Stegostoma tigrinum: one gene and its partners. The protein of the gene in region 1 purifies or fractionates together with the protein of each later gene. This does not show direct contact. Links are inferred from orthologs where the notes say so. Each region holds a gene or a part of one and is shown in the gene's direction. Other genes may lie near its edges. The genes, in order: prpf40a, RNA-binding protein 25 and ncbp3.

Region 1 (10,566 bases):
GCAAGTCAACAACCTGGCCTAACCAATGTTGATATTCCTCTAGAAAACAAATTAAGAACTAAATAATTAACAAAAAAAAGAGATGCCAGGCCAAGCATGATGTGGCAGCTGGAGAGCTCCACTGTATTTCAATGACCACTTCTGGTGTTGGTTTCTTGAGAAGTATACGATGGGGGCGGGGGTAGTTTCCTGGATGCTGTGTTTCAGGAGGCAGTCACACCTCTCACACCCCTTAGATGAACTAAGACTAACAAATTTGGTAGGTGCCAGGGACAGTAGGATGTGACTATGAGCATGGTAGGTTGAAGAATACAGGATGTAGCGTCGAAGGAGCCTCGCCCTTGGGCTTGGTCTGACAGGTTTGAGATTCGTGCTCCCTCTATGGATGAGAGTGAAGGCTGTAGGAAGGATTACCAAACTGACCGAAGCACCGTGATATAGGGAGTCATTCAAGAGGCGACAGAAATGAAAAATATAGTTGCAATTGGGCATAGCATCGTCAGGAGAATAGGCACTGTTCTACGGCCAGGATCAAGAGTCCCAAATGAATGTAGGCAATTAAGGAGAAGGTGCTCTGGAAGCAGAAAATTCTGAAGGAGGATACAACACCTAGACCAGATGGACTGGTTAAATGGTTATATATGATGTAAACCGTAGTTCTAAAGGAGTTAGTAGTGATTATAAAAGCAATGGTGTGGATCTCAAGGAATCACTGCCGTCAGAGAAGGTCCCACAGGAGTGAAACACAGCTAATGTAACACCTTTACGTAAGGGTGTGCGTGTGGTGGAAGAGACAGACGACAGAAAACCATGGACCAGTTAGCCTGACCTTGGTCATCAGAAAGATTTGACAGTCCATTACTAATGATGAGATTACACAGTACTTGGAAGTGCATTGTAAAATAGGGCTGAGTCAGCATAGCTTCAAAGGGAGGTCATGCTTGACAAATCTGTTACAATTCTTTGGAGCAGAGGTTGATGGGTGATCTTCTACAGGTTTATAAGATCATGAGGGGCATGGATAGGGTGAATTGCAGAAGTTTTTTCTTGGGGGTCGGGGGGGGTGGAGGGAGTTCAAAACTAGTAGGCATAGGTTTAAGATGAAGAGAAAAAAATTTAGAAGAAACCTGAGGGGCAACTTTTCACGCACAGGGTGGCGCAAGCATGGAATGAGCTGCCGGGGTGGTGGTGGAGGCAGGTACATATACAAAGTTTAAAAGGCATCCTAATGGTATATGAATAGATTTCGGTTTCGAGATATGGGGCAAATGGGACTAGATCAGTTTAGAATATCTGTTTGGCACAGATTGGACCAAAGGGTTTCTTTTGATGCTGAAAACCTGAGATAACCAGCACGTTAGATGAAAGAAACCACTAAATACGATCTATTTGGATTTCCAGAGGGCCTTTGACAAGGTGCAACACAGGAAGCTGCTAAATAAGCTACGAGCCAATGGTGTTAAGGCAAGATACTGGCAGGAGGTGGAGAGAAGAGGTCTTCTCAGGATGACAGCCAGCAACTAATGGTATTCCAGTGGTACCACAACTATTCACGTTATGCATTCTTGATCTGGATGAAGGAACTGGGGCCATTGTTGCTAAGTTTGCTGATGGCACAAAGCTAGGTGGAGGAGCAGGGAGCCTGAAGGAGTTGGACAGTCTAGGAGAGTGGGCAAAGTGACAGATGGAATACATTGTGGGAAAGTGTCACTTTGGTAGGAATAGCAGAGCAGACCGTTTTGCAAACAGGAAAGGTTTTTGAAATCTGAAGCACAAAGGGACTTGGGAATTTTATTCAGGATTCTCAAAACTAAGAGACAGTAGGAACTGCAGATGATGGAGAATCTAAGATAACAAGGTGCAGAGCTGGATGAACACAACTGAGCATCAGAGGAGCAGGAAAGCTGACATTTCAGTCCCAGACCCTTCTTCAGAAAATCTTCTTCAGAAATAGGCCCAAAATGTCAGCTTTCCTGCTCTGCTGATGCTGCACGGCCTGCTGTGTTCATCCAGCTCTGCACCTTGTTATCTCAAAACTAACATGCAGGTTCAGTTGGCAGTTAGAAGACAAATGCTATGTTGACCTTCATTTCAAAAGGGTTAAGAATAGAATAGCAAAAACATGCTGCTCAGGCTGTTTTGGAATATTTAGCAGTTTGGACCCCACATCTAAGGGGTGGATGAGCTGGCATTACAAATGATCCAGAGATCCCAGGGTGGTTGAGGACTTTGGGTCTGTAATCAATGGAGTTTAAAAAGCTAAGAGTAGGATCTGATTGAAACTTGCAGAATAATGAGGGCTCTGGATAGAGTGGGCATGGAGAAGATGGTTCTACTACTAGGAGAGACTAGTACTACAACTAGAGATTAGATGATAACCTCAGAATGAAGGGACTAAAAGGAGAAGGAATTTCTTCAACCAGAGGGTGGTTAATGTGGAAGTCATTGCCAGAGAGGGCCATGGAGGCCAAGTCATTGAGTGTCTAAGACAGATAGATAGGTTCTTGATTAGCAAGGGCATGAAAGATTAAGAAAGGAAGGCAAGAGAATGGTGTTGAGAAACATATCAAACATGATTGAACGGTGGAACAGACTGTATGGTCCAAATGGCCTAATTCTGTTCCTACATCTTATGGCCTTGAAGAGGCATAGCAAACCAATGCAGAAGAGATTTACTTATACAACAGATTTGCAAAGCTTTTCATTGGAAAATAAAGTTGGAGGAGATCTGATCGAGGCAAAACAGATATTTTGATCAGGATTATCTAATTTAATTGATTGACAAGTTAAGATCATCATAGAGTCTCTACGGTGTGGAAATAGGCTGTTCGGCCCAAAGAGTCCACACCAATCTTCTGATAGGCATCACATACAGACCCATTCCCCACCCAATATTTCTCATGGCTAACACATCTAACCTTCATATCCCTGGCCACTGTGGGGCAATTTAGCATGGTCAATCCACCTAACTTGTGCATTTTTGGATTATGGGAGGAAACCAGAGAACCGAGAAGAAAAAAATCAACACAGGAGAGAATGTGCAAACTCCACTCAGTTGCCCGAGGCTGGAATCGAACCCGGGTCCCTGACAGAAATATTAAAGAACACCAAAATAACAAACTTGGGCCAGGACAGGTGAGGGTAATAGTTTGTCTTTTTTAAAAAATACAAGCAAAGGCAAGTGGATATTTGTCTGTAGAATGCCCTTTCATACAAGATCCTGGAAGCACAACCTACCAGTGCTATTTAGGTCATATTTCCGATGAAAATGAGAGTAAGTTTGTCTTTCCAGGTGAAGCTTGTTTTTGGCTCAAGTGCAGGGCAGTGTGTGCCCTAGACACACAAAACAGTAACTTCACTTGTTATTCAACCATTTTAATTTTGGAGCTGCACACATGAACTGGAGCAAAGCAATTCTTATGAGATTTCTGGCAACAGCAAGTGGAAACCAAAAAAAAAAAAATGTCTGTGCTGTCTAAACTGCAGATTTGTAAAAAAATTCTGAGATGCCCCTGACATTTCAGGATTTAAGAAATTATTTCACTCGTGTAATATTGCTCTCTCCATTGGTATCCACCACATCTCTACTTAAATTAATGCTCTGAACCTATGACATGTTCTGCATATTACTACTGCATTGTATTCATTCATTTTAAACTGTAGTGAGGTTGATTCCTTTGCTTTAGCATCACGATCATTATTTTGTTTTAAAACAGAGCTGGTACCATCCTTACTTTATTTAAAAAACATAATTGGATGTACCCCATGCCAGAAATTGAGTAATCAAGATGAACATAAGTTTAAAAAGTTTAAATATTAACTAAATCAGATACACATTCAGCATATTAATTTTCTCTCAGAAAGCACTCATCACATTTTCTGATCTGTTCAAGTAATAGATTCAAATATATATGTAGATAGGAGGAAGAGCCATATTGGACTGAAACATTCGCTTTTTCTTTTCACAGATGCTCCCACACCCACTGGGTTTCTCCAAGGCATTTTTATTTCAAGTTTCCAACATCTGCAGCATTTTGGTTTTATTTGAGGAGCAAATTATTTTTTCCAGAGTTACCAATCAGGATACTAGCACTTGCAAATCAAATTAATATTTGACAGATTTCTTGCATCAATCATGGATCCTCATGTAGATAAGCACTGACATGGTTTACCCACAGTGCCACATTTCAAACATCCAACATTGTGAACTGCACTTCAGAAAAAAAGACTTAAAAATATTAAATATTACAAGTTATTGCAACAAACAGAAGCAAGCTTAGCTACAGAAATAAAAGGAATCAAAGGAAGTCATTCAGGAAATCCAAGATAGTTGGTCCCAGACAACTGTTCAAAGACAGGAGGAGGAGGGGGAGGAGGGGGAGGACGGGGAGGACAATAAAGTTTGGCATGTACAGCTATCCTTGGGGTCAGAATAAGTCAAGAACACAAAGATTTGTACACATAGACAAGAACTTTCAAGTCAACATTTTGGGGGAAAGTAGCCAATTGCATGCAATAAGGGTGATGTCTCAATTTGAGAGAGGATTCAACTTTGCAAATGAAAGTCCATGGGTAACTTGCAAGTAGGGGATTCAGCCCGGAAATGGTGAATTGAGGAGTGTGAAGTAAGTTGGGAATGGAACAAGACAAGGCCGAGCGTAGCCGTCTAAGACACAGCAATATATAGCCTTGATATAAACTGAGACAATGAAAAGCCGAGTTCAGGATCAAACATGATATCAACCTAGTTCAGTAAACACACGTGTACAGGAGACAAACAAACACTTAGGTCAGAGAGGGTGGGAAAACTGCAAAATTACCAGGGTTTTCAGATTACCAAGTACGTTCTGACTCTATTTATCCTCAACTGTCTCATGTGCATATTATTTACATCTGGGACATTTTACCCTTAAGAAAATATAAAGCTCCATTTGATATCAGAAACCAGAATTTACCTAAATCGAGCAGGTGACAAGGGTGTCGGTGGAAACATTCCGGGTTCGAATGAATCAAAATACGTCAATGTCCATGAGAAACTGCAACATGAGAAACCAGCCGTCAAAGCCAAAATCAACGCACTCCAAAGGCCTGAAAAAAAGAAAGTTGTTAAAAAGTGACAAGAAAAAGGGGGAGGGGCTAGTACATTTAAACCAAAGTGCCAACTTCAAAAGGATACGTTACCTAAAATACCGGTTTTAACACCATCCTCACTGTTTTCTCTATCCCAGCGCAAATCTGCAATCGTAATTCAGGTTATTTTAAACCAAAGTTCAAAGTTCAATGCTTAACAAAGTTTTAAAGCTTCCTCAAGAAATCAACTGATGAACATCAGTACCTTTGAGGATTAAGTACATAACCGCTAGAAGAAAGGCAATGAACGATATCACGATGATACAACACAGCATTGAGCACAGCCGGGCCGGCCACTTCTTACTCCGGCAGTCACTATAGGCAGTCGGCACCAGTGCCCGGTTTGGCCTCGTCCTGTGACTCGGTAGGACCACGGCCTCCTTCGCGGAATCTGTCTGTGAACGAACGCCAGGCGAATCGACGTCCGATTCACAGACTATCAGCTCCCCACCGTCTGGCCACAGGCCTTCGGGCAGAGCGGACATCCCGCTCCGCTTCAAGTACCGCGGCATCGAGCAGTAACTACTACCGCCGAAAACTACCAGTACAGAGCCACGGCTCCGTCTCCCACAGAAAGAGAACCACCACCTGAAACCTGCTTCCCGCCTCTCTCTCCAACTCTCTGTCGAACCAACCGAAAGCGTGAAAAGAGCCCACCCCCGGCCGCCTGCTTTATCCAATCAAAAGAAGAGTGTGGGGAGGGCGGGACTGGCGTTCCGCTTTGCGGCACATGATTGGTGATAATGCCGACACCGGGTGAAGGGCGGGACGAACGTCCTTTCCTCGTAGTCTACAGGTGAAAAGTGCTGTCACTCAAAGCGAGGGGCGTGGAACATATTTCCAGCACTTGATTGGTTACTTGTCCATCATTCTGCGGGAAGAGGCGGGGTGAACTGTTACATTGTCTGGCGAACAGCGCTGTCACTCGGAACGAAGGGGCGGGTCTGGATTATAGTCGTCACTTCGTTGGTTGATAACACGGTGAAGCAGCTCGAGAGGCGGGGTTAGACAGTTCTCTGCGTCTGATAGGTGAATAGCGCTGTCAATCAGTAGTGCGCGTCGGGGACGCAGATCCTGTCACCTTTGACCTTTGCCCCATTGCAGGGCTGAGCCAGTCGAATCGTGCGCCGCTGTTACTGCGGGTCGTGAGGGCCGCGCTAGAGCGGAGCCGAGAACATGGTGAGTGGGGGAACTGCAATGAACAGAGTCGCCCCTTTACTGGAGCCGAGTCCGCGATGAGGGAGAGGTTCGCCTCATCCGAGCCCTGCTCCATGAGAGGCCCGAGTGGCAGCTGCTGCCCCCGCCGGCGACCGGGCTTTCTGTCCGTGACTGGGCCGCACAGCGACCTCTGCAAGATGGGCGCGTGTTGTGAGAGGCGGCTGGATGATGGCCTGATGGTTAGCGGGCGGGGCGTTTTGCAGGCCGCGGGGGAGCCTCACCGATCGCTCGCTGTGTCCATTCCTCTTGGCGGAAAGGGGTAGCGCGGCGCTTCCGAGTTTAAAAAAACATCAAAGCGGTTCCGTGTAATTATGAATGAATGGACGAATCGGCTGGGAGGGTGAAAATCGCAGTTGGTTTACGTTGATCAGGGTTACATTTTTGTGCGGAAATTCAAAATCTGTTCCCAGCCGTTCGTCGTGCAATAAATGAAAATACACAGTTTAACAACATGGCGTACCCGGCCCTTCCCTCAAAATGAGTAAAAAGCCAGGTGATATTAGAATAATGAAAAAGGAAACTCTACTGGTCTGTTCTATCCCGATTGCTCAATGGTAAATTCACATTAAATATATTGTAAAAGTAATTTGTTCTGATTTGTTGAAAGTGCAGAAATAAACCTACTGTCAAGATGAAATGAATGAAAAGTCGAATATGGTTTTATTGGATTTGCTGATGCAAAATAATTTTCAGGCATACTTCATCTTATATTCTGTTGTACTGAACAAACATGATTGGGGCATACATTTGCATAAAACATAATATTGTACATAAATGTGCAGGTAGATACATTACATAGGCCTGAAAAATGAATGTTTATGATTATCTGTTGCCAGTCCACTTACTTTGCCTGAGCATAGACATCAACTTTTTCAGCTGCCTGGACTCAGCACTTTGGAATTATCTCCACAGGTCTTTGCTTTTTCACCTTTTCAGTGCCTTGAAGACTTCATAGAATCCCTGCAGTGTGGAAGCAGACCATGTGCTCCTGAGATGCTGCTTGGCCTGCTGTGTTCATCCAGCCTCACATTTTATTATCCTTCTCAGACTCAACCCTTTACCCCATCCCTGTAAGGCGAGGTGATGGCCTAGTGGTATTATCACTGGACTGTTAATCCAGAAACCCAGATAATGTTCTGGAGACCTGGGTTCAAATCCCACCATGGCAAATGGTGGAATTTGAATTCAATAATATCTGGAATTAAGAGTCTAATGATGACCATGAATCTATTTTCACTTGTTGGAAAAAGCCATCTGGTTCACCGATGTCCTTTTGGGAAGGAAACTTGCATCCTTACCAGGTCTGTCCCTACATGTGTCTCCAGACTCTCAGCAGTTTAGTTGACACTTAACTGCCCTCTGTGCAATTTTAGATGGGCAATTAATGCTGCCTGGTCAGAGATGCCCCCATCCCTTGTATGAACTTTTTAAAAAAAGATGCATTTCCAATGGCTAATCCATCGCAGTGTTGAAGCAGACCCCCATTTGGCCCACCAAGTCCACACTAACCTGCTGAAGAACATCCCACTCAGACCCACCCCTTTACCCCATCCCTGTACATCCTTGGCCGCTGTGGGTAATTTAGCATGGCCGATCCACCTAACCTGCAAATCTTTGGACTTGGGAGAAAATCGGAGCATTCGGGGCAACCGATACAGACACACAAAGAATGTGTGCAAACTCCACACACAGTTGTTGCCTGAGGGTGGAATTGGTCTCTGGTCTGTGAGGCAGTAGTGCTACCCACTGTGAATCACTTTGCCACTCTTGCTTTCAAAACCCAACTGTTTAATCTCTTGTCCTCATATCTTCCTCTGGCTTGATGTTCATTTTTATCTGAGCCTGCTGTGTGTTCTTAAGATTGCTTGTAATGTCCCACGTGCTACATAAAGGCAAGATGCCATAATGTTCATACCTCAGCATATTGGATAGTTATATTAATCAGCCCAATGAAACAACCAGAACTGTTAAGATATTGTCCAATATTTTGCTGCAGTGCACGGTCAATATTTCTTTTAAGTATATAAATGCAAGGCAGGCTGTGCAAATATGAAGCTCCTGAGTGCATTTATGCACTGTCTGTTTCAAGGGTACACAGAGCAGGAAGGCCATTTAGTGAACCATCCAATCAGAATAGATCTGAAATTTTCTCATTGCAACATGCAGTTCATTCTTAAATAATAATATTGTTTTTGATTTCTTGGTACAGTGGTGGAGATGATTCAACATGTTATAACAGGAAGTTATCCACATTAATGAATGACCTAAATTAATGCTTTGGGAACCCATTAGCTAGTTTGTAATTACTCAGTGACTTCTTCGTAGTAACTGTCAAAGCCCCAAAAATCTTCTGATTCTCTGCATTCGTTATTGGACACATCAAATGAATGTAAACACTTCAGTGGAAATGTTTGAAGAACAGCAATGTCGTGGCCAGCATTCATTTCTTCAACAACATCACTACAAATCTGATTGCTGTAATTTTACTGTTAATTTGACCTTGCTATGGGAAAAATGGCAGCCATATTTTTCTATATTAAAACGTGATTACATTTCTTGTTATTAATCGGCTATAAAGCACTTTGGGATGTCTTGAAGAGCAGACGGTAGCACTGTTAGCCTCAGATTTGTGCCTGCATTTCAGCACTTGCTGCATATCCCATTATAGCCTTATTAAATAGAAATCCATATCCAGTGCTCAGCTCTAATTGTTATAACAGCCAAAAATCTTTGAGGAGAGTTTCAAATTTTGTCGTCTTTGTGTAAAACCTGTCTAACGTAGCCTAAAATAGCCAAATGCCCCTGCTGCTTGGGATGGAGAATTCCAAGGATTCATAATCCTCTGGTACAGGATAAAAAATAATCCTCATCTCTGTCTTATGGGAATGAACTTACTTAGAAATCCTGACCTCCAGCTATATATTGCTCAAGAGGGGAAAACATCTTTTCAAAATCTACCCTTCAGTATAGAGTCCCTTTAGAATCTTAAATGTTTTAACGAAATCACTTATCCAGATCGCCAGCAGTTATATGCCCAAAGTAAGGACATGGGTCCTCTTGTCCATCAATCAGAAAACGTTAGGCAAGCCCTATAAGTAATTCGAAAGGCAAATGGAATATTAATGCTTCTTGCGAGGGAGTTGTGTGAAAGCAGGGAAGTCTTAATACAACAGTGCTGGTCTATGGTGAGTCCAAACTTGGAGAGCAGCAATAGTTTTGATTTCTTGCATTGGGTGTAGATATTTTCTAAACAACCTGTTTAGGGATGTTGTTACACACTTGGCGACCAGGTGAGACTTGAACCTGGGCCTCCTGGCTTAGAGATAAGGGCACTACATCTCTGCCATAAGATCCCTCTTGAAGGAGTATGTACCGACAGTGGAGGCAGTTCAGAAGTGACTTGCTAAGTTGATTTCTCGTATTGGGGCTTCCTTTATAACGAAAGACTGACCGATAACTTACTTGCCTTGCATTCCAGCCTCCTCCAGAAGGCCCATTCTGTATTAATACTTGCAATTACAGTATTTGGATTCTTAAATTGCTGCTCCTCCACAGTCCCTAGTTTATCAACTTGCAGAAAATATTCAGACTTGTTTTTCTTGGATCCACAGTTACCTTGCAATAGGTAACAATGCGTAACATTTTCATCGTTTTACCAGCTGTTTGACCACTGACCTGGCTTGGTTCTTCTATTGTTGGTTTCTCCTGACAGGCCTTTTTGCTGTCTCTCCCAACTTGTGCGGTTTGGAAACATTTAGATAAGTACAAATAATTTTATAACACTTTGGAAATTCAGTAATGTTGTTTGTTTTTTTTTAGCCTGTCCAGAGTTGAATATCAGTTGTATAAATATTTTACGACTTCTCCCCATTTATTTGCGTGAGGACATGTACCCAGGCTTTCTCTTGAATGTTTGGAGTTTGTAGTCCTTGTCTTCGTTTTGATAATCACTGCAATGCTTTTTAACTTTCACTATCTTCAACTGTTATTTTTGACACTGGTTCAGCTCACTGTCAGTATTTAACCTTTGGTCAGCTTGGGTCTAGTACTTCCGTTATGATTTGGCTTTAATCAGTGTTAATACATGCAATGTTTGATTTTCTTGGGTGTTTTCTTTTCAGGATATCTTCACTTATTCTTACCTATATAATTAATTTGTTCACTTTGTTTAATTTTCTCTTAATGATGCCCCAACCTTTCCTGAAGTTTTGGAGAATT
Region 2 (10,357 bases), on another chromosome or scaffold:
CTGACCGTTCGTCCTCAGTCAGTGGAAGGTCTGGGGGGATGGTGAAGATGCGGCAGGGATGCGGCCTCCTGCAGTGCCACAACGATGCCACCCGAAGGTTGCAGGAACAGCAACTCATATTCCGCCTGGGAACCCTGCAGCCTAATGGTATCAATGTGGACTTCACCAGTTTCAAAATCTCCCCTTCCCCTACTGCATCCCTAAGCCAGCCCAGTTCGTCCCCTCCCCCCACTGCACCACACAACCAGCCCAGCTCTCCCCCCCCCACCCCCCACGCACTGCATCCCAAAACCACTCCAACCTGTCTCTGCCTCCCTAACCGGTTCTTCCTCTCACCCATCCCTTCCTCCCACCCCAAGCCGCACCCCCATCTACCTACTAACCTCATCCCACCTCCTTGACCTGTCCGTCTTCCCTGGACTGACCTATCCCCTCCCTACTTATCTTCTTTTCTCTCCATCTTCGGTCCGCCTCCCCCTCTCTCCCTATTTATTCCAGCTCCCTCTCCCCATCCCCCTCTCTGATGAAGGGTCTAGGCCCGAAACGTCAGCTTTTGTGCTCCTGAGATGCTGCTTGGCCTGCTGTGTTCATCCAGCCTCACATTTTATTATAATGGGGATAAGGGATTCTTTTTCAGACAGGCAACTGTAATCAAAGAAGTTCCATAGGGATGGGTGGTGGCTCTGCAACTGTTTACAATATATATTAATGACTTTGAATAAGGATCGAATGTACTGCAGCCAAATTTGTAGCTCACACAAAGAGTTGGAAATGCAAGTTGTGAGATGGACACCAACAGTTTACACAGAGATAGGTTAAGTAAGTGGGCAAAAAAATTGGCAAATGGAAAATAATGTGGGAAAATTTAGAAAAATCTGAAGTTGTCCATTTGGAAGGTAGAACAAAAGAACAGAATATTATTTAGATGGAGACAATAAACTGCAGAAAACTAAAGAGACTTGGGGATCCTCATGCTTAAAACATAGACAGATAGCACAGATGTTCAGCAAGTAACAGAAGACATTGGAACGCTGGCCCTTAAGAGTGGAGAAGGCTTCCTGCTTCAAGGTGCAAGATGCTGGAGAGACCGCATATGGAGAAGTGTTGACAATTTTGGTCCCCTTATTTAGAAAAAGGCAGTAATTTTATTACAGGCAGTTCAGAGAAAATTCATAAAGATTATCCCCGTTGTAGAGGGATTGTCTTATAAGCAAAGAACTTTGGGAACTTTATTAATTGAAATTCCTCTCCATTCTGGGTGATCACTCTGGTCTGGATTCTCTCATATTAAAGTCTCTGTCAATTATGGTGTAAACTGCATAAGTCAGAAAAACTTCCCATTAACAAAGCTGGCAAATCCACATCCACTGCACAAGCTTGTTCCTTCCTTTAAATTATTTCATTAGGAGTGGGCAGGATCAATATTTGTTGCTCATTCTGAACTGCCCTCAAGAGGATGGTGGTGAGCTCTCTAATGGTGCAGTCTGCAGCCCAAAGACCTATTGTTTTGGCTAAAAGGCCCACCCACTGACAAAAATCTAAAGCTAGTCTTAGACAAATGTGACACCTGGTCTAAACAGTCAAAACAATCCATAACAATCTGGTGGCCTCTGTTCTACATCTACATAATTGGGAAGTTTGAAATGAGGGGTTTTGGTTCTATTTCTTTTATAGGCTCAAAGATGCTTTAAACTGCACGTGTATCTGGTAAACCTCCTTGGTATCCTTGCAAAACTCTAAAATTAATACCTACAAGGAAAATAAAACAGCACAGTTGTAGCTCTGTGGTAATGCAATTGATGAATAATGGACTCTATTTGGATAATGCAAACTTTCTGCTGCACGGGTATAACATTTTCTATGGTGATTTTCTACAGTATGAGGTCACACAAGAATGCAACAATCACATAATAGGAGAACAACCATTGTCCCATTGAGGTTTGCCATGGTCTCATACAAGACCAAATAATAAGCTTTTGCCTTGCATAGTCAACTGTGCTACAAGAACATTGTAGGGCCCCATCACTCAGCTTATTGTTTTAAGGCACTGTTCACGAACTTTAGAGTTCCAGCCACTGTGATATCCCTGTCTCTCCATTTTAATGTTATTGACTGTCCTGAAAGCTAAGCTCAGCATTTGTCCTGGACATGTGCAAAACACTACATCATTCACAGATAACCACTGCCTTACCCCTGGATTAACATCATGTCAGCCATGAGCCCAATCCTCTACAAATCAAGGCAACAAAAAATGGTGGAAATCACAGCGGGTTCTGCAACATCCTGGTGAGAGAGCAGGCTAACGTTGCGAGTCTAGATGACTCTTCATCAGAGCTCTGATGAAGCCTATCCTCCTTGATATCGCAAGACGATATAGGTGGTTTATCCATGACAATTTGGAGTTTGCTCCAGATAACTGTGAGGTAATACATTTGGGGAGGACAAACAAGGCAAGGAAATACATCATAAATGGTAGCACCCTAGGAAGCAGTGAGGATCACTGAGGACTTGGTGTGCATCTACACTAGCCTTTAGGGTATCGAGGCAGGTGGATAAAGGGGTTAAGAAGGTATATGGGATACCTGTCTTTATTGGACAAGGAATAGAATTTAAAAGCAGGAAGGTTAATCGAATCATTAAAAATGTTGGATAGGGTAGTGTTGGTGTAGTTCTGGAATCCACATTATAGGAGTAATGCGATAACACAGGAGAATTACTCTCGAGCCTCAGAAATGTCTGGGTATCCGTTACATAGTGACATTGGACATACTAGGATTGTTTTCCATTGAGCAGTGGAAAGTAAGAGGAGACATGATTGAAATGAACAAAATTGTGCAGAACAGAAATAAGGCAGACAGGAAGAAACTTTTCCCTTTGATGAAGGAGTCAACGACCGCATAGATTTAAGGTTGGGGCAGAAAGTTTAGAGGAGACGTGAGGAAAATGTTTTTTTCCCACTCAGAGGGTGGTTGAATCTGGAACTCACTACCTGACAGGGTGGTAGAGGCAGAATCCCGGATAACATTGGGGCTCATTCTGGAGTAGGTGGGGCATTACAAATGGGATGGTCTACACCTGAACCAGAGGGGTACCAATATCCTGAGGGGAAAATTTGCTAATGTTTTTGGGAGGGTTTAACCTAATTCAGCAGGGGGATGGGAACCTGAATTGTAGCTCCGGTGAGAGTATTGAGGTCATGAATAAGGTTGCAAGGTCGCATGTGTGTACCAGCAGGCAGGATGGCGGTTTGAAGTGTGTCTACTTCAACGCCAGGAGCATCCGGAATAAGGGGGGTGAACTTGCAGCATGGGTTGGTACCTGGGATTGAGATGTTGTGGCCATTTTGGAGACACAGAAAAAGCAGGGATAGGAATGGTTGCTGCAGGTTCCAGAGTTGAGATGTTTCAGTAAGGTCAGGGAAGGTGGTAAGAGAGGGGGAGGTGTGGCACTGTTAGTCAAGGACAGTATTGCAGTGAGGTTTGATGAGGACTCGTCTGCCAAGGTAGTATGAGCTGAGGTTAGAAACAAGAAAGGAGGACCCTGTTGGGAGTTTTCTATAGGCCTCCGAAAAATTCCAGAGATGTAAAGGAAAGGATTGCAAAGATGATTCTGAATAGAAGATAAAGTAACAAGGTAGTTGTTATGCGGGGCTTTAACTTTCCAAATATTGACTGGAAGTGCTATAGTTCGAGTGCTTTAGACAGGTCAGTTTTTGTCCACTGTGTGCAGGAGGGTTTCCTGACAGTATGTAGATAGGCCAACAAGAGGTGAGGACATATTGGATTTGGTACTAGGTAATGAACCAAGCCACACTGGGTTTGGGAGTAGGTGAGCACTTTGGTGGAAGTGACCACAATTCGGTTACGTTTACTTTAGCGATGGAAAGGGACAGGTGTATACCGCAGGGCAAGAGTTATAGCAGGAGGAAAAGGCAATGACAAGGTGATTAGGCAAGATTTAGGTTGCATCGGATGGGGAAGTAATCTGCAGGGGCTGGGCACAATTGAAATGTGGAGCTTGTTCAAGGGGCAGCTCCTGCATGTGCTTGATAAGTATGTACCTGTCAGGCAGGAAGTGGTCGGGCGAGGGAACCGTGGTTTACAAAAGTTGAATCTCTTGTCAAGAGGAAGAAGGCGGCTCATGTAAAGTTGAGGCGTGAAGGGTCAGTTAGGGTGCTTGAGAGTTCAAGTTAGCCAGAAGGGTCTAGAGAGAGCTAATAAGAGGCTGGAGGGGAAATGAAAAGTCTTTGGCAGGTTTGATCAAGGAAAACCCTAAAGCTTTCTTCAGGGTATGTGAGGAATAAAAGAATGGTTACAGTAGGATTAGGACCAGTCAAGGACAGTTGTAGGAGCTTGTGCATGGAGTCCGAGGAATTAGGAGGCACTAAATGAATATTTTTCATCAGTATTCACACAGGAAAAAGACAATGTTGTTAAAGAGAATACTGAGGTACAGGCTATTAAACTAGACAGGATTGAGGTTCATAAGGAGGAGGTGTTAGCAATTCTGGAAAGTGTGAAAATAGATAAGTCCACTGGGCCAGATGGGATTTACCCTAGGATTCTCTGGGAAGCTACGGAGGAGATTGCAGAGCTTTTGGCTTTGATCTTTATGTTGGCATTGTCTACAGGGATAGTGCCAGAAGACTGGAGGATAGCAAATGTTGTCTCCTTGTTCGAGAAGGGAGTAGAGACAACCCTGGTAATTATAGACCAGCGAGCCTTACTTTGGTTGTGGGTAAAGTGTTGGAAAGGATTCTAATAGATAGGATTTATAATCATCCCCAAAGGAATAATTTGATTAGAGATAGTCAACACTGTTTTGTGAAGGGTAGGTCGTGTCTCACAAACCTTATTGAGTTCTTTGAATGGCTAAACAGGTAGATGAGGGTAAAACGGTTGATGTGGTATATATGGATTTCAGTAAAGCGTTTGATAAGGTTCCCCACATTAAGCTATTGCAGAAAATACGGAGGCTTAGGATTGAGGGTGATTTAGCGGTTTGGATCAGAAATTGGCTAGCTGTAAGAAGACAGAGGATGGTAGTTGATGGGAAATGTTCATCCTGGAGTTCAGTTGCTAGTGGTGTACACAGAATCTGTTTTGGGGCCACTGCTGTTTGTCATTTTTCTCAATGACCTGGAAGAGGGCGTAGAAGGATGGGTTAGTAAATTTGCGAATAACACACTTAGGTCGGTGGAGTTGTGGATAGTGCAGAAGAATGTTGCAGGTTACGGACAGACATAGTTAAGCCGCAGAGCTGGGCTGAGAGGTGGCAAATGGAGTTTCATGCGGAAAAGCATGCGGTGATTCACTGTGGATGGAGTAACAGGAAGACAGAGTACTGGGCTAATAGTAAGATTCTTGGCAGTGTGGATGAGCAGACAGATCTCAGTGTCCATGTGCAGAGATCCCTGAAAGTTGCCACCCAGGTTGATAGGGTTGTTAGGAAGGTGTATGGTGTGTTAGGCTTTAGTGGTAGAGGGATTAAGTTTCAGAGCCACGAGGTCATGTTGCAGCTGTACAAGGCTCTGGTGGGGCTGCACTGGGATTATTGCTTACCGTTCTGGTCGCCGCATTATAGGAAGGATGTGGAAGCATTGGAAAGGGAAGCAGAGGAGATTTATCAGGATGTTGTCTGGTATGGAGAGAAGGTCTAACGAGGAAAGGCTGAGGGACTTGAGGCTGTTTTCGTTAGAGAAAAGAAGGTGGAGGTTACTTCATAGACATACAAGATGATCAGAGGATTAGATAGGGTGGACAGTGAGAGGCTTTTTCTTCAGATGGTGATTGCTAGCACGAGGGGACATAGCTTGAAATTGAGGGGGGGATAGATATAGGACAGATGCCATAGGTAGGTTCTTTACTCAGAGGGTAGTAAGAGCGTGGAATGCCCTGCCTGCAATAGTAGCAGACTGGCCAACTTTCAGGGCAGTTAAGTGGTCATTGGATAAACATATGGATGATAATGGAATAGTGTAGGGCTTCAGATTGGTTTCACAGTTGGTGCAAAAATCAAGGGCCATAAGACCATAAGACATGGGAGTAGAAGTAAGGCCATTCGGCCCATTGAGTCCACTCCGAAGGACCTATACCACGCTGTAATGTTCTATGTTCTAACCTTTAAGTATTTAGACTGGCGTGGACATGATGGGCCAAAGGGGTCTTTTTCTGCACTGTTGATTTCTATTATCCTTTCCTTCCAAAAATAAGGGGGTCCTTCTCAGTAGTCTCACGGATGACTTCCCTGCCTTTATACTCCGCCTCCTTGCCAACCAAGGGCACTGAATTCTAGTTATTGCCTTATCCGAAATGTTCCCACTGCCCCCCGTGGCCGTTCCGCCCCGTTATTAAAGGCTTCCTTCACCTGGATCATTTCCTGCTCATCCACCAGGAGAAAGCTGCTGGCAGTTTGGCTCCTCAGTTTATCGAGTTCTCGGTGCTCTTTCTGGTCCTCCCCGAGTCCAGCCTCGACCTCTGGCTGCGGGTAGTTATTGACTGGATGCTTGCGGCGGTTCGAGTGGCCTCGGCGGTGGCACTCGGCGCACACGTTGACCTTGCAGGCCAGGCAGCGACAGCAGGCCCGACGCCGGCCACCGCTCGGTTTGTTGCCGTTGCACTGGTCACAGAACGGGAGGTGTCCGGGTTTCAGGCGGCTCCTTTCATGATCCCTGAGTCGGGGCTGGTTGTGCAGCTGTCGCTCACACACCGCACACTGTAGGCTGCCGCATTCATCACACTCGAAGGCCGCCTCCGAGGCGCTACACGCGTAACTCTCCTGACAACGGAGCAACTGATCAGGCCCGGCACTCAAACCCGAAGCCCCGGCACCGCTCATCGTCCTCCCTCTTTTTAACCAGGCACCGACACCCAAGCCGAGACAACGAAACAGGCCCCTGTCAATCGTCAGTCGGCCCGGGCCCGGCTCCTTTCGGTAGGTCACGTGCGTTCGGGTTCGGCTCTCTTCGGCGTCTTCACATGCGTTCGGGCTCGGCTTGATGCGGATTGAATGACCCAAGTGAGAAATTTGATGCAATTTAATAATCAATGTTGTTGTCCAAGGAGATGAATGTGATTGTTTGCAAAAAAAACCCTCTTGGTCCACACTAAACCACACGGCTGAACTTGCATAACCTGCAGATTTTCTACGTCTGAGGTGCATATCTAGAGACCTTTTCAATAAATGGAGGGTTTCTGCCTTTATGCAACTTTACAGGCCGTGAGCTCCAGACCCCTTACACGCTCTGGCGAAATAGAGTAGAGAGGACTTGAATATACTTTATCTCCCAGTCACTTTAAATCGACATCCCCTAGTCACTGCTTCCACAGGCAGAAGGGTGTGCTTGGACCAACTGAGGAGGGCAAAGAGATTCGCCAATTTGGAATGTGGAGCTGAGTGCTGTTTGGGCTAGTTGCCCAAGGACATTAATATCATTTGTTGTACATCTCGTTGAAAATTACCAAACCCATTGCAATTACTTACAGCACAAAGGCCTGATTCATTGTCATTGTTACCCATCACCATTACTTAATTTTTCTTAGATTTTTTTTTAAATTTGGTTTTGTCCTTTCTTACTACTGCCATGGGTGGTGCTGAAATTGCATGTCCTGAAACTTGTCACCAGGCTCTGGCACTGTGGCATAAAGCTGGGAAGTTCCATCATCTTTTCATCCATCATAGAGTCATACAGCATGGAAACAGACCCTTCAGTCCAGCCAGTCCATGCCGACCATACTCCGATGTAGCTGCTCAAGTGTCAGAATCATTGTGAGTCTTGACATTTCTTGGGTGAATGACTTATACCATTGTATAACTGGGAACTGCATGAGACTATTCAACTCAAGCTACTTCCCTGTATACCCATCACAAAGTCAGTGTTTAGGCTAAGACCCCCTTGTCAGTTCCTTAATCTCTGGACCAAGATTTTTATACTTATGCCTATTTCCCACCTATGCATTCTCCAATCTCTTGTTGTCATCTTTATATCAACTGTCACAAAACCGCCACGGTCAAGTACCTTTAAAAATAAAGTTGGGTTTCCACAGTGACCCATGTTGTCCTTCAGCCTCAGTTCAATTTCTGTTGGTACTTCCTGGTTCTCATAACATTGTCAGGATCTTATTGTGGCATTTAATTCTTGCATTCTCATTAATGGATATTTTCCCAAAAATGTTTGTGCATTCCTGTTGGACCCTCACATCTGTGACCATTTTTGAGTGTGTGAGGTCATCTTTGATCAATTGAGTCAGTGGGTTGAGGGGTGCCAGATGGAGTTTAATTTGAATAACTGCATTTTGGTAAAATAATCAAGGGCAGGACTTTGCAAATTAATGGTAGGAACTTGGGTAATGTTGGAGAACAGAGAGACCTTGGAGTTCAGGTGCATAATTCTTTGAAGTTTGTGTCACATGTAGACAGGTGATTAAGAAGGCATTTAGCGTGCTTGCCTTCATTGCTTGACCTTTGAGTACAGAATTTGGGATGTCGTATTGGGATGATACAGGACATCAGTGACATGTCTTCTGTAGTCCGGTGTGCGGTTCTGATGTTTCTGTTATAGGAAGGATTTTATTAAACTGGAGAGGGTTCATGAAAGATTTACCAGGATATTGCCAGGAATGGAGGGTTTGAGTTATAAAAATAGGCTCGGACTTTTTTAGCTGGACCATTGGTGATTTGAGGGGTGACTTTATGGAGGTTTGTAAAATCATGAGGGCCATATAAAAGGTGAATAGCAAGGGTCTTTTGACCAGATTGGGGAGGTCAAAATCGGGGCCATATTTTTAAGGAGACAAGGGAAAGATTTTAAAAGGACATGGGGGCCAAATATTTTACGCTGTGGTTCATGCGTGGAAGAAACTGCCAGAGGAAGTGATGGATAAAGGTACAGTTACAGCATTTAAAAAACATTTGGATAAGGACATGAATAGGAAATGTTTGGAAGGATATAGACAAAATGGAGGCCAGTGGGGCTGGTATTTTTTGGGAACATGGTGAATGTGGACTAGTGATAATGGGAACTGCAGATGCTGGAGAATCTAAGATAACAAAGTGTGGAGCTGGATGAACACAGCAGGCCAAGCAGCATCTTAGGAGTGCAAAAGCTGATGTTTCGGGCCTAAACGTCAGCTTTTGTGCTCCTGAGATGCTGCTTGGCCTGAATGTGGACTAGTTGGACCAAGAGCATGGACTATTTGGGGTGGCACAGTGGCTCAGTGGTTTGCATTGCTGCCTTACAGCACCAGGGACCCAGGTTCAATTCCAGCCTCAGGCGACTGTCTGTGCAGAATTTGCACATTCTCCCCATGTCTGCAGGGGTTTCCTCCAGGTGCTCTGGTTTCATCCCACAGTCCAAAGATGCACAGACTAGGTGGATTGGCCACGCTCAATTGCTGGTAGTGTTCAGGGTGTGTGGGTTATAGGGGGATGGGTCTGGGTGTGATGCTTCAAGGGGCAGTATGGACTTGTTGGGCCAAAGGACCTGTTTCCACACTGTAGGGAATGTAATCTAATGAAATCTAATTTAATCTAATTTCCATGTCTTATGTCTGTGACCTGTGTTTGTCTAGTCCAAATTGGGTACAGATGATCCAGGTATTGGAATCCCTATTGTTCTTGTAGCTTCTGATTCTAGAGTCACTTAGTGAATTCCCATCTCTCCACTCTTAAGTACTTTCTCTCTGGCATTTCAGCTGTTAGTACTTGTTAGGAATCTAGGTGATCCATGAACACTTCTGCTTCTGGCATTATGTGCCTTGTCTTCTGTAGGAAGATATCTGGTTTCTTCAGGTTGTTGAGCTTGCACAGGTCTTTCATGACCTCAGTGTTACTTTGCCCACAGAACTGACATAAGAGCAGATGGCACAGTGGTTCAGTGGTTAGCACTGCAGCCTCACAGCGCCAGGGACCCAGGTTCAATTCCAGCCTCGGGCAACTGTCTGTGCAGGGTTTGCAACAGAGTCTCCCTGTGTCTGCATGGGTTTTCTCCAGGTGCTCCGGTTTCCTCCCACAGTTCGAAGATGTTCAGGCTAGGTGCATTGGCCGTGCTAAATTGCCTGTAGTGTTCACGGGTGTGTGGGTTATAGGTGGATGGGTCTGGGTGGGATGCTCCAAGGGACGGTGTGGACTTGTTGGGCCAAAGGGCCTGTTTCCACACTGTAGGGAATCTAATCTTAAAAAAAGACCTGTCAAGTACTTTCCATTTCTGAATAACTGCAGCCAGGATCTGCACCTCACGTTTTGACGTGCCAAGCCCACCATTTTAGAGTATAAGAAGTTATCAGCTGTGTGTTGCAGGAGATGTAGGAACTGCTTAGTTGCATTCCAGATTGTGTAATCAAGTTTGCAAAAGGTGTTC
Region 3 (10,716 bases), on another chromosome or scaffold:
GGGTCAGTGCATTAGGTTTGAGTCTGAGTTGTGAACTGTCAGAAACGTTCTCTGTCAGTGACCTATGTTTAGAGTCAGAGTTTCTCAGTTATAATTTAACCTTTACAGTGTGAGATTGTTTCGGCGTCAGCCCAAATACACTGAGCACCAGGAAATCACCAGGTTTTATTGGAATTGTGTGGAATCAGTCCAGTGTGGATTGGGAGTGGGTGCGGGAGCTGGATTGTGGGGAATGTGATTGTGTTTCGAGCAGCAATGGCTGATGGTGGAGCTGTCCACTGTGACAGGCCAAGGCTTTACGCAGCTGCTGTCAGTTGGGGGGACCCTGTTGAGATGCCCCCTGCTTAATGGATGGTTTCCAGCTCCTGCCCTTGGCACTGAGTGCAGGAGAGATTACTCTGCCCTGCGGGACCCTCTGTCGCTATCTGAGTTAATCACACTGTGTCATGTTCCAGCAAATGGCTGCACCACATCACCCTACAAACTCAACCCATTGAAACACCCTGAAAAACTGCTCCAATACACCCCAAACAGTCCCAAATACACCCCAAACACCCCCCAAATACACCCCAAACACTCCCCAATACACCCCAAACACTCCCCAAATACACCCCAAACACTCCCCAATACACTCCAAACACTCCCCCAATACACCCCAAACAGTCCCAAATAAACTCCAAACACTCCCCCAAATACACCCCAAACACTCCCCCAATACACCCCAAACACACCCCAATATACCCCAAACACTCCCCCAATACACCCCAAACACTCCCCCAATACACCCCAAACACTCCCCAAATACACCCCAAACACTCCCCAATACACCACAAACACTCCCCCAAACACTCCCCCAAATACACCCCAAACACTCCCCAATACACCCCAAACACTCCCCCACATACACCCCAAACACTCCCCCAATACACCCCAAACAGTCCCAAATAATCCCCAAACACTCCCCCAATACACCCCAAACACTCCCCCAATACACCCCAAACACTCCCCCAATACAACCCAAACACTCCCCAATACACCCCAAACACTCCCCCAAAAACACCCCAAACACTCCCCAAATACACCCCAAACAGTCCCAAATAAACCCCAAACACTCCCCCAATACACCCCAAACACTCCCCCAATACACCCCAAACACTCCCAAATAAACCCCAAACACTCCCCCAAATAAACCCCAAACACCCCCCCAAATACACCCCAAACACTCCCAAATACACCGCAAACACTCCCCCAAATACACCCCAAACACTCCCCCAATACACCCTAAACACTCCCCCAAATACACCCAAAACACTCCCTCAAATACACTCCAAACACTCCCCCAAATACACCCCCAATACTCCCCCAAATACACCCCAAACCCTCCTCCAATACACCCCAAACACTCCCCCAAATACACCCCAAACACTCCCCCAATACACCCTAAACACTCCCCCAAATACACCCAAAACACTCCCTCAAATACACTCCAAACACTCCCCCAAATACACCCCCAATACTCCCCCAAATACACCCCAAACCCTCCTCCAATACACCCCAAACACTCCCCAAATACACGCCAAACGCTCCCCAATACACCCCAAACACTCCCCCAAATACACCCCAAACACTCCCCCAATACACCCCAAACACTCCTGAAATACACCCCAAACACTCCCCAATACACCCCAAACACTCCCCCAAATACACCCCAAACACTCCCCAATACATCCCAAACACTCCCCCAATACACCCCACTCCCAAATAAACCCTAAGCACTCCCCCAAATACACTCCGAACACTGCCAAATATACCCTAAACAATCCCCCAAATATACCCTAAACACTCCTCCAGTACACCCCAAACACTCCCCCAATACACCCCAAACAGTCCCCCCAGTACACCCAAACACCTCGAATAAACCTTAAACACTCCCCCAAATATACCCCCAACAATCCCAAATAAACCCCAAACACTCCCCCAAATATACCCCAAACACTCCCGAATAAACCCCAAACACTCCCCCCAGTACACACCAAACACTCTCGAATAAACCTTAAACACTCCCCCAAATATACCCCAAACACTCCCAAATAAACCCTGAACACTCCCCCAAATATACCCTAAACACTCCCCCAGTACACCTCAAACACTCCCCCAATACACCCCAAACAGTCCCCCAATACACCCCACTCCCAAATAAACCCCAAACACTCCCCCCAGTACACCCAAACACTCTCGAATAAACCTTAAACACTCCCCCAAATACACCCCAAACACTCCCTAATAAACCCCACACACTCCCCCCAGTACACCCAAACACTCTCGAATAAACCTTAAACACTCCCCCAAATACACCCCAAACACTCCCCCAATTACACCCCAAACACTCCCCCAAATACACCCCAAACACCACCCCAATACACCCCAAACATTCCCACAATAAACCCCAAACATTCCCACAATAAACCCCAAACATTCCCCTGAACACATCCCACACACTCCACGAATACACCCGAAACATTCCCCCAGTACACCCCAAAAATTCCTAACAAAACCCCATGACAGGAGGTTTGAAGCCTCATGCCTCGATAACAGGCCATTACCCCTGCACAGGGTCAGTGCAGTCTCAGGCATCGTGGGTATGGCCTGTGCTGTAGGAATGTCCTTCTTACTCCACCAGGGTCAGCACCTCTACCTTCTCCCTGACACCTCACACTCACTCAATCTTGCTGTCAACCGAGTCTGGCCCCTGGCACCACTCACGCTGTATGCCCGCTGCACCGAAGACTCCACCTCTCACTGCGCCAGCAGTATAAGCCATCCAACACATCTCCCTTTATCGATGCCAGTCCCTCAGTCCAGACAGCCACGATCGGACACAGCCTGGACAGCTGTTTGGCTGTCTGGCCTGTATCCTGATCCTGACCCTGACCACCCCGGCTGGATGACCAAACATCTCTAAAGCCCTCAGCCTGGCACCAGAAGCTATCCAAGCCTTTACTGTGCCAGGGGCCCCTGAGCTGAAGGAGGTCTCTCGGGATGCAGCCGATAACCATCCCAGGCCTCCCAGCTTTGTGTCTGTGCTAAAGGTGAAGTCCTGTACAGGATGAAGTCAGGAATGCGATGGAATACTCCCCACGTTCCCTGGATTGGGGCAGCTCCAACAACACAGGGTGGCACGGTGGCTCAGTGGTTAGCACTGCAGCCTCACAACGCCAGGGACTCAGGTTCGATTCCAGCATCAGGCGACTGTCTGTGTGTGGAGTTTGCACATTCTCCCCGTGTCTGCGTGGTTTTCCTCCGGGTGCTCCGGTTTCCTCCAACAGCCCAAAGATGTGCAGGCTAGGTGGATTGGCCATGGGAAATTGCCCGTAGTGTTCAGGGGTGTGTGGGTTATAGGGGATGGGTCTGGGTGGGACGCTCTTCAAGGGGCAGTGTGGACTTGTTGGGCCGAAGGGCCTGTTTCCACACTGGAGGGAATCTAATCTAATCTAAAAACACTCAAGAAGCTTGGCACCCTCCAGGACAAAGCAACCGCTTGATTGGCCTCACACCCACAAACACCCACTCCCCCCGCCACCGACACTCAGTAGCAGCAGTGTGTACCATCCCTAAGATGTACTGCAGAAATTCACCAAAGATCCTCAGGCAGCATTTTGATTGATTTGTTATCATCACATGTACTGAGATACAGTGAAAAGTATTGTTTTGTATGCTCTGCAGGCATCAGGGTAGCCGTACAAGAGTGCAGGATAGTGTTACTGCCACAGGGAAAGTGCGGAGAGAGATCAATATCAATATTTCATAAGTCTTCTTCAAAAATCTGATAAAAGCAGGGAAGGAGCTGTTCTTCAATCTGTTGGTACACGTGTACAAACTTTTATGTCTTCTGCCCGACAGAAAAGGGTAGGAGGTATAACCGGGGTGAGATGACCTTTGTTTATGCCAGTTGCCTTCCCGAGGCAGTGAAAAGTATTGATGGAGTCCGTGGATGGGAGGCTGGTTTGCACCGTGGACTGTAGTTCCTGGTGGTTTCGGGAAGAGGAGTTGCCATACCAGATTGCATCCACTTAGGATGCTCAATGTGGTGCAGCAACGCAAACTGGTAAGGTGTCTTTATAGACGTGGTGAATTTCCCTAGCCTCCTCAGGAAGTACAGGCTTTGCTGTGCTTTCTTCACCAAAAAGCATCAACACGGATGGACCAGGACACACTGATGGAACTTGATGCTTTCAACCATATGCAAACAGAGGCATGCCCTCCACTCTGCTTCCTGAAGTCAATGACCAGCTCCTTTGTTTTGCAGACACTGATGTACAGAGTCTTGACTTTACACCACGCCATTAAACACTTTACCTCCTGCTTGTACTTCTTTGCATCACTGTTCCCAATTCCACCTATAATGGTGGCGTCATCGGCAAACTTATAAAAGGATTTGGTGTGGAATCTGGCCACACAAGTGTGTGTCTCAGTATAGTAGGGGGCTGAGTACACACCCTTACAGGGCAGCAGTTTTGAGGATGGTCAGCTCTGCTTACTAACTGCAGTCCGTTGGTCAGCAAGTTGAGAATCCAGTTACAGAGGGAAGAGCAGACACCTTGGACCTGGAGTTTGGAGAGGAGTTTGTTTGGAATTATGGTGTTGGAAGGCAGAGCTGTAATCAATAAGAAGCTTGTCCTGGGTATCCCTCCTTGTCCAAATGTTCCAGTATTCACAGTCTGCCTTGGAGAGTTGCACCAGTAGGCCATCTACAAGGGATCAAGATTACATGGGGGAGGCTAGAGGTAATTTAAGCTATGTCCAGCTTCATAATTACCAATGTCAGAGCACCAACCAGGAGTCATTGGGGCATGCTGCACCAGTTTTCTTTGGCACTGAGATGATGGCAGTCTTCTTAAAGCAGGTTGGGACTTCAGATCACAGTAGAGAGGTTGAAGATGTCTGTGAATACTCCTGACAGGATTCACACCATTCTGCTAGAATTTGGTTTTACCTCATAGAATCATCCAGTACAGAAGAGGCTCTTTGGCCCATCAAAAATTTGCTACAACCTATACTAGGCCTATAACTTTGAATGCAATGATATTTCAACTGCTCATTCATGTAGTTTTTAAAGGTTTGAACTTCCACCTCAACTACCCTCCCAAAGTGCTTTCCAGTCCCGCACCATCCTCTGGGTGAAAAGGTTTTCCTCAAATCACCTCAAAGCCCCTTGTGTGTAACTTTATAATTATGCATCCTCATTGTCGACCTTTCAACCCTACTTTCTATTCATTCAGAGATAGTAAAAACTGCCGATGCTGGAGTCAGTGAAAACACAGGTGGAGCTGGAGGAACACAGCAGGCCAGGCAGCATCAGAGGAGCAGGAAAGTTGACTTGAGATAATGGGAACTGTAGAAGGGTCCATGCCCAAAACGTCAGCTTTCCTGCTCCTAAGATGCTGCTTGGCCTGCTGTGTTCATCCAGCTCCACACCTTGTTATCTAAGAAAGTTGGTCTATTGGGTTGGGACCCTTCAAATGGGGCTCGAAATGTCAACTTTCCTGCTCTTCTGATGCTGCCTGGCCTGCTGTGTTCCTCTAGCTCCATGCTGCATTATATCTGCTTTCTATTCATTCTATTCACACCCCTCAATCTTATAGACCACCACCGAGTGCCCCCTTGACCTTCTGTGGCCAGCCTTATTACTGATTCAGCTCCACTGTCCTCAAGCAGAAGCCAATGTCCTTCTTTGTCAGGGTTCAATATTCAGGAAACTTGTCCAGCTCAATTCCATACCTTCCCACAATTGCAAACCTTCATGATCTTGAGAAAAATCTCATCATTTATAGATCTTTCGACAAGACTTTCAAAATGTATGACCATGACCAATCTAGAAGCTTAAGGGTAGGAGATGCATGGGAACACTACCGTCTGAAAGCTCGCCTCCAAGCTACTCACCATTTGTCTTGGATATATATCGCTGTTTCTTCACAGTTGTTGGGTCAAAATCCTGGAATTCACTCCCTAATAACATTGTGTGTTGTGTCAGCCCACAGCACATTGACGGCAGTCATTAAAAAAGGCAGCTCACCAGCACCATCTCAACGGGCAACTAGGGATGGGCAATAAATGCTGGGGCCAGCCAGCAATGCCCACATCCCACTAGACAATTCAGGAATAATGCCAGGTGGCTGAGGTTTTGGATGGCTTGAAAAGGGCACTAATCATGGGCAGTGAAAGTTTGGAGAGTGTTGGATTGGGAAACTGTCCTGATGGAAGCTTGGGTCAGGCTCAGTGCCAACTCATGGGGCAAAGGGTGGCACTTGATTGATTTGACATTCCAGCTGGAGGGGGCAGTTACTCTCCAGGCCGCAGGGAGGCGCTGCGATCCGCTCACTGCAAACTACGGCGAGCTGAGTAATCTCTTGCCGCGCGTTGCACTCCTCAGCATTGGATGGTACGCCGGCCGTGGCGGCAGGTGGCACCTCTTGCCTTTCCCTCGGCGACTCCTTGTTTGTCATGGCGGCGGTGCGGGGCCTGCGGGTCTGTTTGGAGCCTGGGCCTGGGGCAGAGGGGGCCGCCAGCACCGAGAGGGATGACGAGCCCATGGAGGTGGAGGAGGGGGAGATCGAGCCCGAGAGGCTGGACACCATCTCAGTGCGGAGGTCGCTCAAGGACCTGATCCCGGTGAGGAGAGGCCCAGGCCTCGGGCCCGGGTTTGGGGGGGGGGCGGGAATCACAAAGGCCTCGGAGAGGTTAGAGTGAGGAGGGAAGGACAGGGTCAGTGCTGAGGGAGCGGGCACTGTCGGAGGGTCAGTGCTGAGGGAGAGGGCACTGTCGGAGGGTCAGTGCTGAGGGAGCGGGCACTGTCGGAGGGTCAGTGCTGAGGGAGCGGGCACTGTTGGAGGGTCAGTGCTGAGGGAGTGGGCACTGTCGGAGGGTCAGTGCTGAGGGAGTGGGCACTGTCGGAGGGTCAGTGCTGAGGGAGTGGGCACTGTCGGAGGGTCAGTGCTGAGGGAGTGGGCACTGTCGGAGGGTCAGTGCTGAGGGAGCGGGCACTGTCGGAGGGTCAGTGCTGAGGGAGTGGGCACTGTCGGAGGGTCAGTGCTGAGGGAGCGGGCACTGTCGGAGGGTCAGTGCTGAGGGAGTGGGCACTGTCGGAGGGTCAGTGCTGAGGGAGTGGGCACTGTCGGAGGGTCAGTGCTGAGGGAGTGGGCACTGTCGGAGGGTCAGTGCTGAGGGAGTGGGCACTGTCGGAGGGTCAGTGCTGAGGGAGCGGGCACTGTCGGAGGGTCAGTGCTGAGGGAGCGGGCACTGTCGGAGGGTCAGTGCTGAGGGAGCGGGCACTGTCGGAGGGTCAGTGCTGAGGGAGTGGGCACTGTCGGAGGGTCAGTGCTGAGGGAGTGGGCACTGTCGGAGGGTCAGTGCTGAGGGAGCGCCTCACTGTCGGAGGGTCAGTGCTGAGGGAGTGGGCACTGTCGGGGGGTCAGTGCTGAGGGAGTGGGCACTGTCGGAGGGTCAGTGCTGAGGGAGTGGGCACTGTCGGAGGGTCAGTGCTGAGGGAGTGGGCACTGTCGGAGGGTCAGTGCTGAGGGAGTGGGCACTGTCGGACGGTCAGTGCTGAGGGAGTGGGCACTGTCGGAGGGTCAGTGCTGAGGGAGTGGGCACTGTCGGAGGGTCAGTGCTGAGGGAGTGGGCGCTGTCCCCTCCGAAGCCTCTGTTTTGACTGAGTGAGACAAATAATAACTTTTCCGGTGAAATTCTCAGTGGCCTCGCTCCGGATGAGCACTTTTTCTGGGGATTTTCGCACTGGCAGTTTGGGATGTGGATTTGTGGACACTCTGCGTATCGTGCGTTGCAACAGCAGCTTCACCCTCGCAATGAAATTGTGGAAATAGCTAATTTTACTCTGTTCTGTTGTCATGTTTTTATCTTCTGGTTTTGTAATGCTGATTGGCTGGGGCTGTGGTGGCTATCTGGGCATGAGCTGAGGCATTGGCTACTTTAAAATATGCCAAACTGAGCTCCTGTTTTGGGTGGAGATTGTTGAAAAGTGTTTAGTTTGGTAAGTGTAATGTTGTCTGGGTGCTGCTGGTGACTTTATGGTGTTGGTTCCCAAGCTGATGATCTCTCCATCAGAGGGACTTCAAATCATGTTTTGATCTGTTGACAACTCAGAAATCAAGGTTGATTAACTCCCACCAAGCACTGACCCCTTGTATCCCACACTGTCTGACCTGCATTGGCTCGTGTTCGAGCAGCAGTGCGTTTTCAAAATTTTCATCCTCCTTTGTGAACTCATCCGTGGCTTTGCCTCTCATCATCTGTACGATTTCCCTCAGCACCACACAGCTCCAAGATCTCTGCTCCTGCAGTTTTGGCCTCGACTGGGAACGTCCTGAGTTCAATCCCTCCCTCATTGGCTGCTGTACCTTCAGCTACCTGCGCTCTGAGCTCCGTAACTTTCTCCTTAAATCCCTCAGCTTCATTCTGTTCCTCTTTAAGATGCCTGTTAAAACTGCCTTTGACCACAGTTCTGACCTGCTATCTCTTTGTGGCTCAGTGTCATACTTGTATTTTGTAATGCTCATATGAAGTTCCTTGTGATGTTTTGGAGCAGTAACTGAAGGTAGATGTAAGTTATTGCTGATTACTGGGAATAGTTTAAAACTCTGTACTCATCTGCCAAGTTACAAGACACCTTGGTTTTATTACATCCAGCAACTTAAGACCATAAGACATAGAAGTGGAAGTAAAGCCATTCGGCCCATCAGGTCCACTCCGCCATTTAAATCATGGCTGATGGCCATTTCAACACCACTTCCCTGCACTCTCCCTGCAGCCCTTGATTCCTTTTGAGATCAAGAATTTGTCGATCTCTGCCTTGAAGGCATCCAATGTTCCGGCCTCCACTGCACTCTGTGGCAATGAATTCCACAAGGCCACCACTCTCTGGCTGAAGAAATGTCGTCTCATTTCAGTTTTAAATTTACCCCCTCTAATTTTAAGGCTGTGCCCATGGGTCCTAGTCTCCCCACCTACGGAAACAACTTCCTAGCGTCCACCCCTTCTAAGCCATACATTATCTTGTAAGTTTCTATTAGATCTCCCCTCAACCTTCTAAACTCTAATGAGTACAATCCCAGGATCCTTAGCCGTTCATCATTCGTTAAACCTACCATTCCAGGGATCATCCATGTGAATCTCCGCTGGACACGCTCCAGGGCTAGTATGTCCTTGTGTGTTAATGCTTTTAATGCTCATTGCCTTCTCCTTTGTATCCATACCCTGATTCCAGTTTACTCCCAGAGTTTCCCTAACAAACATGTAAAGAAATGAAAGATAAGCCAGTATAAAGCCAATTTTTGAACCTTCATATTTTTATATCCACTAGCGCTCCTTCATGTTCTTTTTGTAGACGGGGTTGTTAAGGGATTTAGAATGCTTACCTTTGCTCAGATCTTTGAGTCTCGGAGTTAGGATGTCATGATGAGGTTGTACAGGAAAATGGTGAGGCCTCTTCTGGAATGTTGTGCCCAGTTATGGGAAGGATGTTATTAAGCTAGAGAGATTTCAGTAAAGATTTACCAGGATTGTGCCTGGAATGCAGGATTTGAGGTTGTTAACTTGCTTGCCAAGCTGGCTAGCTTTTGTTCAGATGTTTTGTCACTGTGCTAGGTGTCATCATCAGTGAAGCCTCTGAAGAAGCGATGTTGTTCTACTCCACTCGGAATTTATACTGCCCGGTCCATTATGGTGAGAAGTGTTGTTTTTCCGGTTTGGATCTGCATGGGTTTGTATTTGGGTCCAATTCTGTTTGTTGATTGAAGTGTGGGCAGAGAACCATGCGTCTAGGAATTCCTGTGCATGTCTACATTTGGCTTCTATGGACTGCCCAAAGTACATAAAGCAGACATTCCCCTCAGGCCCACTGTCTCCCTACCAGGCACACCTTCACACAAACTGGCTGAGGACCTACAACAGAGGCTGAAACACCTGGTTGATAGATCACCTCATTCTATCCACTCAACCCAAAATTTCTTTGATACCCTCGAGAACATAAAAATCAGTGACAACGAGATTATTGGTAACCTTTGTCGTCACAGCTTTATTTACATCAATTGACATCCCACTAGCCAAAGAAACAGTGGCCATGCTACTAGAGGAAACCGCTACACAGACCAGCAGCTCCATCAGCAAGGACAACGCCCTTAAATTACCAGACCTCTGCCTCACCACACACCTCATCTTTAATGGTCACATATACAAACAGATTGACAATATGCCAATGGGGTCACCCATCTTGGGACTCTCACAGCGGCAGTCATACAAAGACTAGAACACACCACCCTCCCCCACATTCAACCGAAACTGTGGATCCAGTACGTAGACGGCACATTTGTCGTTATTAAATGCAACAAATTAGAAGAGACCCACCACCTCATCAACGGCGTATTTGCAGGGATTAAATTCACAAGGGGAGAAGAAACCAACAATTTCTGGATGTTAAGATGGAACGCCTGACAGATGGGCATTCCAACCCTCCGTATAAAGAAAAGCGACCCATACGGATCAAATCCTCAACTTCCACAGCAACCACCCCAGCATCCACAAACAAAGCTGCATTAGGATACTATATAATCGGGCCTGGACACACTGCAACGCTCCAGAACTGCACCAGGATGATGAAAAACACTTACACAGTATCCTCGTTTTAAATAGATATCCCTGCAA

The links.
Region 2: the proteins of prpf40a (region 1) and RNA-binding protein 25 purify together in Homo sapiens (affinity purification with mass spectrometry; 5 studies listed by BioGRID and IntAct, with this or other methods). This does not show direct contact. The link is inferred for Stegostoma tigrinum from reciprocal best matches to the Homo sapiens genes PRPF40A and RBM25.
Region 3: the proteins of prpf40a (region 1) and ncbp3 purify together in Homo sapiens (affinity purification with mass spectrometry; 3 studies listed by BioGRID and IntAct, counting the BioPlex papers as one, with this or other methods). This does not show direct contact. The link is inferred for Stegostoma tigrinum from reciprocal best matches to the Homo sapiens genes PRPF40A and NCBP3.

What each region holds. Positions count from the first base shown.
Region 1 is NC_081360.1:54,267,910-54,278,475, reverse strand, and holds the start of prpf40a (pre-mRNA-processing factor 40 homolog A), read left to right. Parts: upstream 1-6,204; 5' UTR 6,205-6,306; coding exon 6,307-6,309; intron 6,310-10,566. Other genes in the region: arl6ip6 (ADP-ribosylation factor-like protein 6-interacting protein 6), read right to left, coding at 4,956-5,088, 5,182-5,235, 5,336-5,642.
Region 2 is NC_081363.1:88,979,365-88,989,721, forward strand, and holds the start of RNA-binding protein 25, read left to right. Parts: upstream 1-6,837; 5' UTR 6,838-6,933; exon of another isoform or gene 6,934-6,935; intron 6,936-10,357. Other genes in the region: zfyve1 (zinc finger FYVE domain-containing protein 1), read right to left, coding at 6,367-6,837. UniProt on the Homo sapiens protein: RNA-binding protein that acts as a regulator of alternative pre-mRNA splicing. Involved in apoptotic cell death through the regulation of the apoptotic factor BCL2L1 isoform expression.
Region 3 is NC_081380.1:46,786,442-46,797,157, forward strand, and holds the start of ncbp3 (nuclear cap-binding protein subunit 3), read left to right. Parts: upstream 1-6,448; 5' UTR 6,449-6,501; coding exon 6,502-6,669; intron 6,670-10,716. UniProt on the Homo sapiens protein: Associates with NCBP1/CBP80 to form an alternative cap-binding complex (CBC) which plays a key role in mRNA export. NCBP3 serves as adapter protein linking the capped RNAs (m7GpppG-capped RNA) to NCBP1/CBP80.